Oryza sativa Japonica Group: one gene and its partner. The protein of the gene in region 1 binds, or shares a complex with, the protein of each later gene. Links are inferred from orthologs where the notes say so. Each region holds a gene or a part of one and is shown on either strand. Other genes may lie near its edges.

Region 1 (3,919 bases):
ATATAAAAATTATACGTTTTTACAGTTACTCTTTTTAAAGAACTATTCAAAACTGTTAACTTAAGGGCACAGTAGCATACTCGGCGCATTCGTCATCTACGAAGACTTCAATGGAGCTTACACGAGTCGGCTGAACTGCTGCCCTCGATCCAACCTTCTGAGGAATCTGTTGTTCAGTGCAATACTATCATCAGTTCATTGATCATTACTGAACCGATAAACCTCGAGACATGTCGCAAAAAGGGACCTTTTGAAGAATTCTAGTGGCTTAGGGGAGAAAAAAAAAACCTTGTGTGATGTCCATTTAGCAGGCCTCATGTTATTTTCTTTGTTCCGATCTGCTTGTGATCCAAGGGTCTGCCAGGCCGTGTTGTTGCTCCTGGTTCTAGCAAGGCCATGACTAGGTAACGAATTCTCATCTGTGTAAACTGCAAGTGGCCTATTGACATCAACTCTGCAAATTTGCAACAGTATCAACACCAGTAAAAAAATTCCAGGTTCATCTAGATTTCTTTATACTGATTGCATGCGTATAACAAGTAATAACCTTTGCAGAGTTTTCACCAGGTGAGAGTTTTCTGCATGCTGGCCTCCTGCCACATCAAAATGCAACATTAGTTCACCCAGCCAGGCACTTGAAATTGATGTTAATCATACCATCACAGCAAACTTACTGATTTCACCACGGTTCAAGACAGTCCCAAAGTTGCGTACTGGATGATCATCAGTAGTTGTGTCATCCTGTTTCAACAGATAATAGAATTCATTCAGTGGGCAGTGGAATATAGATTAAAAATAGGGTACTAAATCAGCCTATGTACACCTCAGGATGTGCCTTCTTTTTGGATGATCTCTGAAGAAATGCCCTGTATGTAGTTTCCAACTTCTCCACAGGCTTTGCTTTCCTGACCAAAAAAAAAAAAGCCAAAGAATTTTACGGTTTAATATGCACCATTCCATCAAACAAAATTCATAAATAGTATGCTTTAGGTATTAAGGTGTAGGTAGAGCAGAAAATTGAGAAATTATATCATATCCCTCCAACAAAAAATAGAGAAGTCAGGAATACATGTTTTAATCTAGAACAGTTCATAAGCTTACTCCACAATCAGTTTAATGCATTTTAGTTATAATACATAGAGCTAAAATGGTGAGTGGGAATATGGAAGACTATACACCTTGCAGTCAAACAAATGCATAAATCGTATGCTTTAGGTATTAAGGTATAGGTAGAGTGGCAAGAAAAGTCATATCCCTCCAAAAACAAATAGAGAAGGTAAAAGTTTTCAGCTACAACGGTTCATAAGCTTACTCCAAATTAGTTTAATGCATTTTAGTTACTATAATTCATAGAACTAAAACAGTAAATGGGGATATGTAAGACTATATGTTTGTTGACTAAAAATCCGAAGAAAACAGACTTCAAATCTAGAACAGGAATTCTTTGTCAAAGGCTATATGGAAATTTAGAAGGAACTTATCTATTATCACTAAAAAATAATCTACTAGCAGACTAGCACTGAAGAAAATCCGCAACCTTTCTCATATCTGAAGAAACTAAACTACCAATCCCCCATAAAATTCTCACCTGGCAATACCAAGGTTAAAAATCTCATTAGCTTTCTTTAGCTTGTTCTTGGACTCCATTACCGACGCATAGGACAAGTAGTAATTGGTATGGCTCTGACCAATCTGGTTGGCCTCCAGGAACCTGAATATCACCTCGGAATCAGCACAATTCCCCGCCTGCATACAGATTAAGATCAAGCCAAACTGGATGTCAAAAGGAAACCAAACCAATCCAATCCAATCCAACCAATCCACCTCAGAACCAATCCTGAATTCATGAAACTCACATATTCCAGCCACACTTTGAGGTAGCGGAGATCGTTCTTGTAGCGGTCGTCGTGCCAGAAGGCACGCACGCACTGCTCGTAGATCACCACCAACCCGGAGCAATCCCCGCCTGTCGGAAACGACTCCTGAACCCATTTGATGCAGCTGCGTGTGGATTAAGCAGACAAAGGCATGCCATGAGCAGCAAGCTTGCGGAAACCGCAGAGAAATCGCCGACATGGCAAATCTTTCGGCTCAACCTACTACTACTAGTATACGAATCAATGAAACAAAGGGGAAATTGCTTACTCTATCCATGGTTGGAGCGGATCCTCGCCGCTGTATTCGTCGATTGCCTCGATCATTTTCCTGAATCAGTAGATCAATCAAACGTAGGACGAAAAAAAAAAGATTACCAGAGACCCGCCCCCAAATCAAGAAATCCAGAGCAAACCAAACCCAAGAACCGAGAGACGCGGGTGACGGGAGCGGCGGCGGTACCTCCGGGCGGCGAGGAGGGCGGCGCGCTGGGCGGGGTCGGCGTGCGCCTTGAGGGCGCGGTTGAGGAGGCCCACGTTGCGGCCGCGCTTCAGCGGCCGCACGTTCTCCTTGAACGTCTCCCACTCCGCGCACGGCGCAGCCGGCGGGGCGTCGCCGCACCCCATCAGCATCAGAGTCTCCTTGTCGAGCGCCACCACCGCCTCTTCCGCCGCCGCCGCCGCCGTCGTCGCCATCGCCGCCGCCATGTGTTCGTCCGGGCGCCGCTCCGGAGCCGACCGTTTGGGAGGAGAGATATTCAAATTGGAAGAGATTTTTGACCGTTGAGCTGAGGCGGATGCTGCTGCTGCTCGGGTTTATATAAGGTGAAAAAGAATTGGGCTTTTCATGAGTTGGGCTTGGAAAGTTTATGTGGGCCTAAAATTGTTGGATCTTGATTGCGTCAGCACTCACACGGCAGAGTCACTATGAAGAAATTCAGTCTCAGCCCTGTTCAGCTTGTCAGCTAATTAGCCGATAAATTCATAGATTAATTCAATATACTGTAGATTATGAAGTTAATTAATTATTTGGTTAGAAAAGGTTATCGAAACAATGCTATTGTAGAAAGATTTTTGAGAAATCATACTGTTAAAATTGTGGCCCGTCAATTCGCCGTGATGAATGAGTTTTGTTTTTTTTATGTTAATGCTGGAGTATATGTGTTTGTGCAAACATTACGCAGAAGTTTGTGATGATCAGTTGATCTTCACATGAACAGATTTAGTTTCTTAAATCACATGAAACACAAATTGTTCAGCTTTTTTCCCCAAGACCAGTTGCGTAGTTCTTAAAAGCATAACTCAAACTTGAGGCAAAGGCGCAAAGCTTCATGCTTGCTGAACTTTCTGTTTTGCCACGATTAAATTTCAGTTAAACTGATAGCACTCTTTCATATTGCACAAAAAGAACTCCAAACAAGTGCTCTAAATGTTCAAACTTCCATAATAAACGATATAATATGTCTTTGCTCTTCCATTACAATTGGTTACATATCTAGCAGGAAGCAGTAACAGGTAACTTAATTGGACTATGAACAGGCAACGAACACGCATAGAATCTCACAGCCTTCTCGGTGGCTGCATCTGTGAAGGATCCACAAGGCCTTCCAACACAACAAGCTGATCCAGCAGCGCAAACTTTTCATCCTCGAGAACGCTGGCTTCCTCTTCAGCCTGGCTCAATTGCTTGTCCAGCTCACCGTTCTCATCCTCCAGCAGCAGGTACTTCTTCCGTAACGCTCTGTATTCATCAGCTGGACCGAACTCTGGCACCGAATCGGGGGTTCCCCAATCAGATTGCGGAGCCGAATGGCGAGGTTCATTCTTGAAGGTTATCTTAGGGGCTTTCTTGGTCTTGCCGGATGTGAGTGGAACCTCCCTCCGCAGCAGCTCAGGTTCAGCTTTTATTTGGCTGGGAGGCAAGGGGCGGGAAACGACCTTTCTCTTGTGCGTCTTCGGGGTTGCGAATTCATCTCGTGGCATACCTCTTGGGTCTTGCATTCCCTCCGGTCACTCCTCCCTGAACAATGCAACTCAAGTGAGAA
Region 2 (3,770 bases), on another chromosome or scaffold:
TGGCTGAGTACAAAGATTACAGCCTAAATGAGGACCTGTTAGTTGCTGCCAACAGGTCCTGGGGTTCCTCTGGTTTATATGTAAATGTAAATGTAGCTCTGTAGCATCTTGGTGTTAGTTAGTTTCCAATGTGTTTGTTACCCATGCTGATACTGGGTTTTACATTTGTCACAAATAGTCTTGGAAGCTGGAAACAAATACATTCATCAGAAGTGTAATTTGTCCGGACAACGAAGGTTGTCTGGCAAAATGTAAGATTTCTGATGGATTGTTGCAAACAGCCTTGGAAGTTCCGAAGCTGGAATAAATTCATTCAGCAGAAGTGCATTTTGTCTTGAGATTGAAGATGGTACAAAATTACTTCTAATTTAATATGCAAGTTTTGACAAGAAAAACGGTGGTCGATATAACATAAACTTTGAGGATACGGCTGTCTTGAGATTGAAGATGGTACAGAATTACTTTTAATTTAAGTGCATTTTGTTATTCACAGAGCATATGACTTCAAAACACCTTGAATCTTTTGAGATTCTGAAGTGAGAAACAACACATATAATTGAACAACACAGTGAAGAAATCGTGGCACACGATCACGATGCATTCAACTCCAGTGGTACTTTCAACCCAGGATTTCAAAGGCTGAGGAAAAAAAAATCATGGTGAAGCAGCGATACACAGTCGATTCTCCCAAAATGCGGTAAAGAACAAGAAAAGGGATTCTCCCAGAGCACACGAGTTCCGATAGGGCTAGGGCGTGAATGAACGAACGATTCACACAAGCATCACGCCTAGCAAGCTAAGCTAGCTAAATAAGCTAGCAGCAATAAACTAGCAAGGGGGTCTCCTCCTCATGGCTCCAACCTCCACCGGCGGCTTCTACTCCTCGTCCCACTCGTCGACCTTGTAGGAGACGAGCGTGTCCACCTTGTGAATCTGCCATGGCAAGAACACGGCGCTGTAACGTCAGCAATCTGGGAGAGGCAGCGAAAAAAAAGAAACGGAGTCGATTCAGTGATATTCACCTTGGTGTCGAAGGAATGCAGCTTCACCATCTGTGGATTCTCGATGAGCTTGGCGTCGCTCTCCACCCAGGTGAAGGGCACCGCGACGTCCATGTCGGTGTACGCCAGCACGTCGAATATGCCTGCAAAATCAATCAATCAATCAATCAATCAATCGACGAATGCGGATGAGCTGGGAGGAATTGGGGGGGAGAGCAGAGGCGATGAACACTGAACACTGAAGAAGTAGAGGTGGTGGTAATGGCGCTTACATGGCTCGTCGAGGCAGGGGAGGTAGGTGATGCAGGAGGCGACCTGGCGCATGATGGCCTGGATCTCCCTCATGATCTCCTTGTCGCTCTTCTCCTTGATGACACCCTTGTCGACCACCTCCGGGTCGGTCTGGATGCTGAAGTTCCACCGCTCCAGCACCTCGGAGGTGGCCTTGCTCATGATCACCAGCACGATCCTCTGCAGCTTCCCGGCCTCCAGCCACTCTGCGCGCGGCAACGCAGGAAACACAGGCAAGATCAATCAGCAGCAGCAAAAGAAAAAGAAAAAAGAAACCAAATGGAGACAGGCAGGCTAGTGATCCGGTGAGTGAGGCCAGACGACCTGAGAGCTGGGTGTTGAGGTTGGCGATGAAGGTCTTCACCCCTTCGTCCTGCGTCAGCAGCATCGTGAGGCCGTACTTCTTCACCTTGGTGAAGCTCTCCTCCGGGTACACCCCGCGGTTGTACAGGATGCTGCGCCACGCACAAACCAAGAACACAAAACACCCCGGATCAGAAATTAACCCTGAATCTGCAGCAACCGTTTTTTATATTTTTTTTCTTTCAAAGGAAACCAGCATCAGCGCAGCGGCGGCCGTCGATCCTGGCACCCGCAACCGCGCGAAGCGCGCACCTGTTCGCGGCGTAGCCTGCCACACGAGAAAAGGCATTCGATCAAACACCTATCGGGCGCGCGCACGCGTGAGAGGAGCCGAGGGCGAAAAAAAATAAAAGAAACGGAAGCGGAGATCGGCTTCTACCGAAGAACTCGCTGACGATGGCGGCGGAGCCCCGCAGCGTGATGATGTCCTTGGACGCCGTCCTCGACGCCATCTCCTGATCCGCCTCACCTTCTTAACTCCTCCTCTTGCCTCCCGTGCGGCGGCGGCGGCGGCGGCGGATGGGGGGAGAGGAAAGAGGAAAGGGGGGGAAAAGCCGGGCAAAGGCAACGGCTAGTGTGGAGCGGATCGGCTGCGGGCTGCGGCGCTTGGGAACTTGGGAGCGTTGTTTGTCGATGGGTCGTGTTGGGTCAGGTGCGGGGGAGAGAAGGTGTCGGCGTGCGGGTGGGTTTCGGGAGTTTTTAAAGGTGGGCCGGACCTGCGCTCCCAACGGTCGTGTGGGCGGTGGGCCAGTGGGCTTCGGTTGGCGCGATTCGCCCAAGCCGCGCGCTCTCTTCGAGTCCTTTACCTCTTGTTGATGATGAATTGTACTGGTACCAGTAGACTACTAGTAGAACCGTAGAAACACCATTTTCTTGGAGAAAATGCTCCTGGGTGGCTGGGTTTTTGAACTTGTTCGGACGGTTGGCCTTTAGGGCAGTCCCAACCCATAACACTAGACATAGTTTTCATAAACTCTACATCATCAAGAAATTAGTACTAGACACTACTCTTTCAATATAAACACCACTATTCCATACTTCAATTTAATGCAATTTATCTTACATGATATTTTGTGTAGAAACCATATCTCATGCAAGACATGGTTTCCTTCTCTTTCCTCATTTATTTACTTGCCACATCATTTTTTATCCTAGGTGGCAACTTATATAATGTTATGGACATCATCCTAGACATTGGGTTGGGAATACCCTTAGAAACGGAGGGAAGGTATTTGCCCTTTGCCGCCAACAACCCCTATTTGCCCTCATATTCGTCCGTTTAGCACAGTTATAACTTACCAAACAATTTTGGTTTCACCAAAAAAAATAGAGTAAAGCTGGTTAGAGTGTTCTCGCAAAATGAGCGTCTTACCAAACGAGACATCTGTTTCTTACTGTTTTTCTGGGCTTATTCGGCCGAATTGTAAATCGAAAAGTTTATTCTTCACCAGACTAAAAAAATACGCTTATTCATTATATTATCAGAGCATATCATTTGATTCACGGTTTGGAAAATTATGTTTTGAAAATACAAAAACTTATACTGTAGTCCTTCCATCACGGCACAACAACTTTTTTCCATGTCTTGTAATATAAGGTGTGTGTGCATGCATGCACATTAACTATCACCTCTTAGTCCTTTAAATTTGGTTTGTTTTAAACCATCTACCATCAAGCCCCCAATCACACTGCTTGCCTGTACGGATGTGATCTAACCGATGCGATAATCAAATTATTTCTCGGTCTTTTGCGTTAGAAGTGATTTAGCCTAACACCCATTTTGGCATGTAGGGAGTATTACTTAGACCACTCATTTTAGACATATTTTATCTTAAAATATTAAATTAACCACTATAATCGGTTATATAATGGCGATAATAATATACTCAATAATCTAAATATAGTTTTTAATATATTTGTGAACTATGTGATTCTATACTAAAAACTACCCCTATGCCTTAAAAGCCACTGACTAGCACTGACATTCTGTTTGCCTTTTGTTTGAAAGTTAATTTGGATGTATTTAAAATTCAAGTAGGATTATATTGTTTCGGTAGAGATTATTTTTCAAGAGAAAGTTTCCTTTGATTTTTTTTGGTGCAACCTTTTTTCTTT

What was found.
Region 2: mitotic spindle checkpoint protein BUBR1 (region 1) and mitotic spindle checkpoint protein MAD2 share a complex: the UniProt entries of both Arabidopsis thaliana proteins name them as parts of the mitotic checkpoint complex. The link is inferred for Oryza sativa Japonica Group from reciprocal best matches to the Arabidopsis thaliana genes BUBR1 and MAD2.

What each region holds. Positions count from the first base shown.
Region 1 is NC_089036.1:5,218,606-5,222,524, reverse strand, and holds the start of mitotic spindle checkpoint protein BUBR1, read right to left. Parts: upstream 2,665-3,919; 5' UTR 2,583-2,664; coding exon 2,338-2,582; intron 2,206-2,337; coding exon 2,146-2,205; intron 2,002-2,145; coding exon 1,857-2,001; intron 1,747-1,856; coding exon 1,589-1,746; intron 906-1,588; coding exon 824-905; intron 742-823; coding exon 675-741; intron 594-674; coding exon 548-593; intron 455-547; coding exon 289-454; intron 167-288; coding exon 81-166; intron 1-80. Other genes in the region: uncharacterized protein, read right to left, coding at 3,435-3,875. UniProt on the Arabidopsis thaliana protein: Essential component of the mitotic checkpoint. Required for normal mitosis progression. The mitotic checkpoint delays anaphase until all chromosomes are properly attached to the mitotic spindle.
Region 2 is NC_089038.1:24,797,597-24,801,366, forward strand, and holds mitotic spindle checkpoint protein MAD2, read right to left. Parts: upstream 2,329-3,770; 5' UTR 2,108-2,328; coding exon 2,035-2,107; intron 1,924-2,034; coding exon 1,908-1,923; intron 1,748-1,907; coding exon 1,617-1,747; intron 1,499-1,616; coding exon 1,274-1,498; intron 1,145-1,273; coding exon 1,023-1,144; intron 934-1,022; coding exon 877-933; 3' UTR 570-876; downstream 1-569. UniProt on the Arabidopsis thaliana protein: Required for the execution of the mitotic checkpoint which monitors the process of kinetochore-spindle attachment and delays the onset of anaphase when this process is not complete.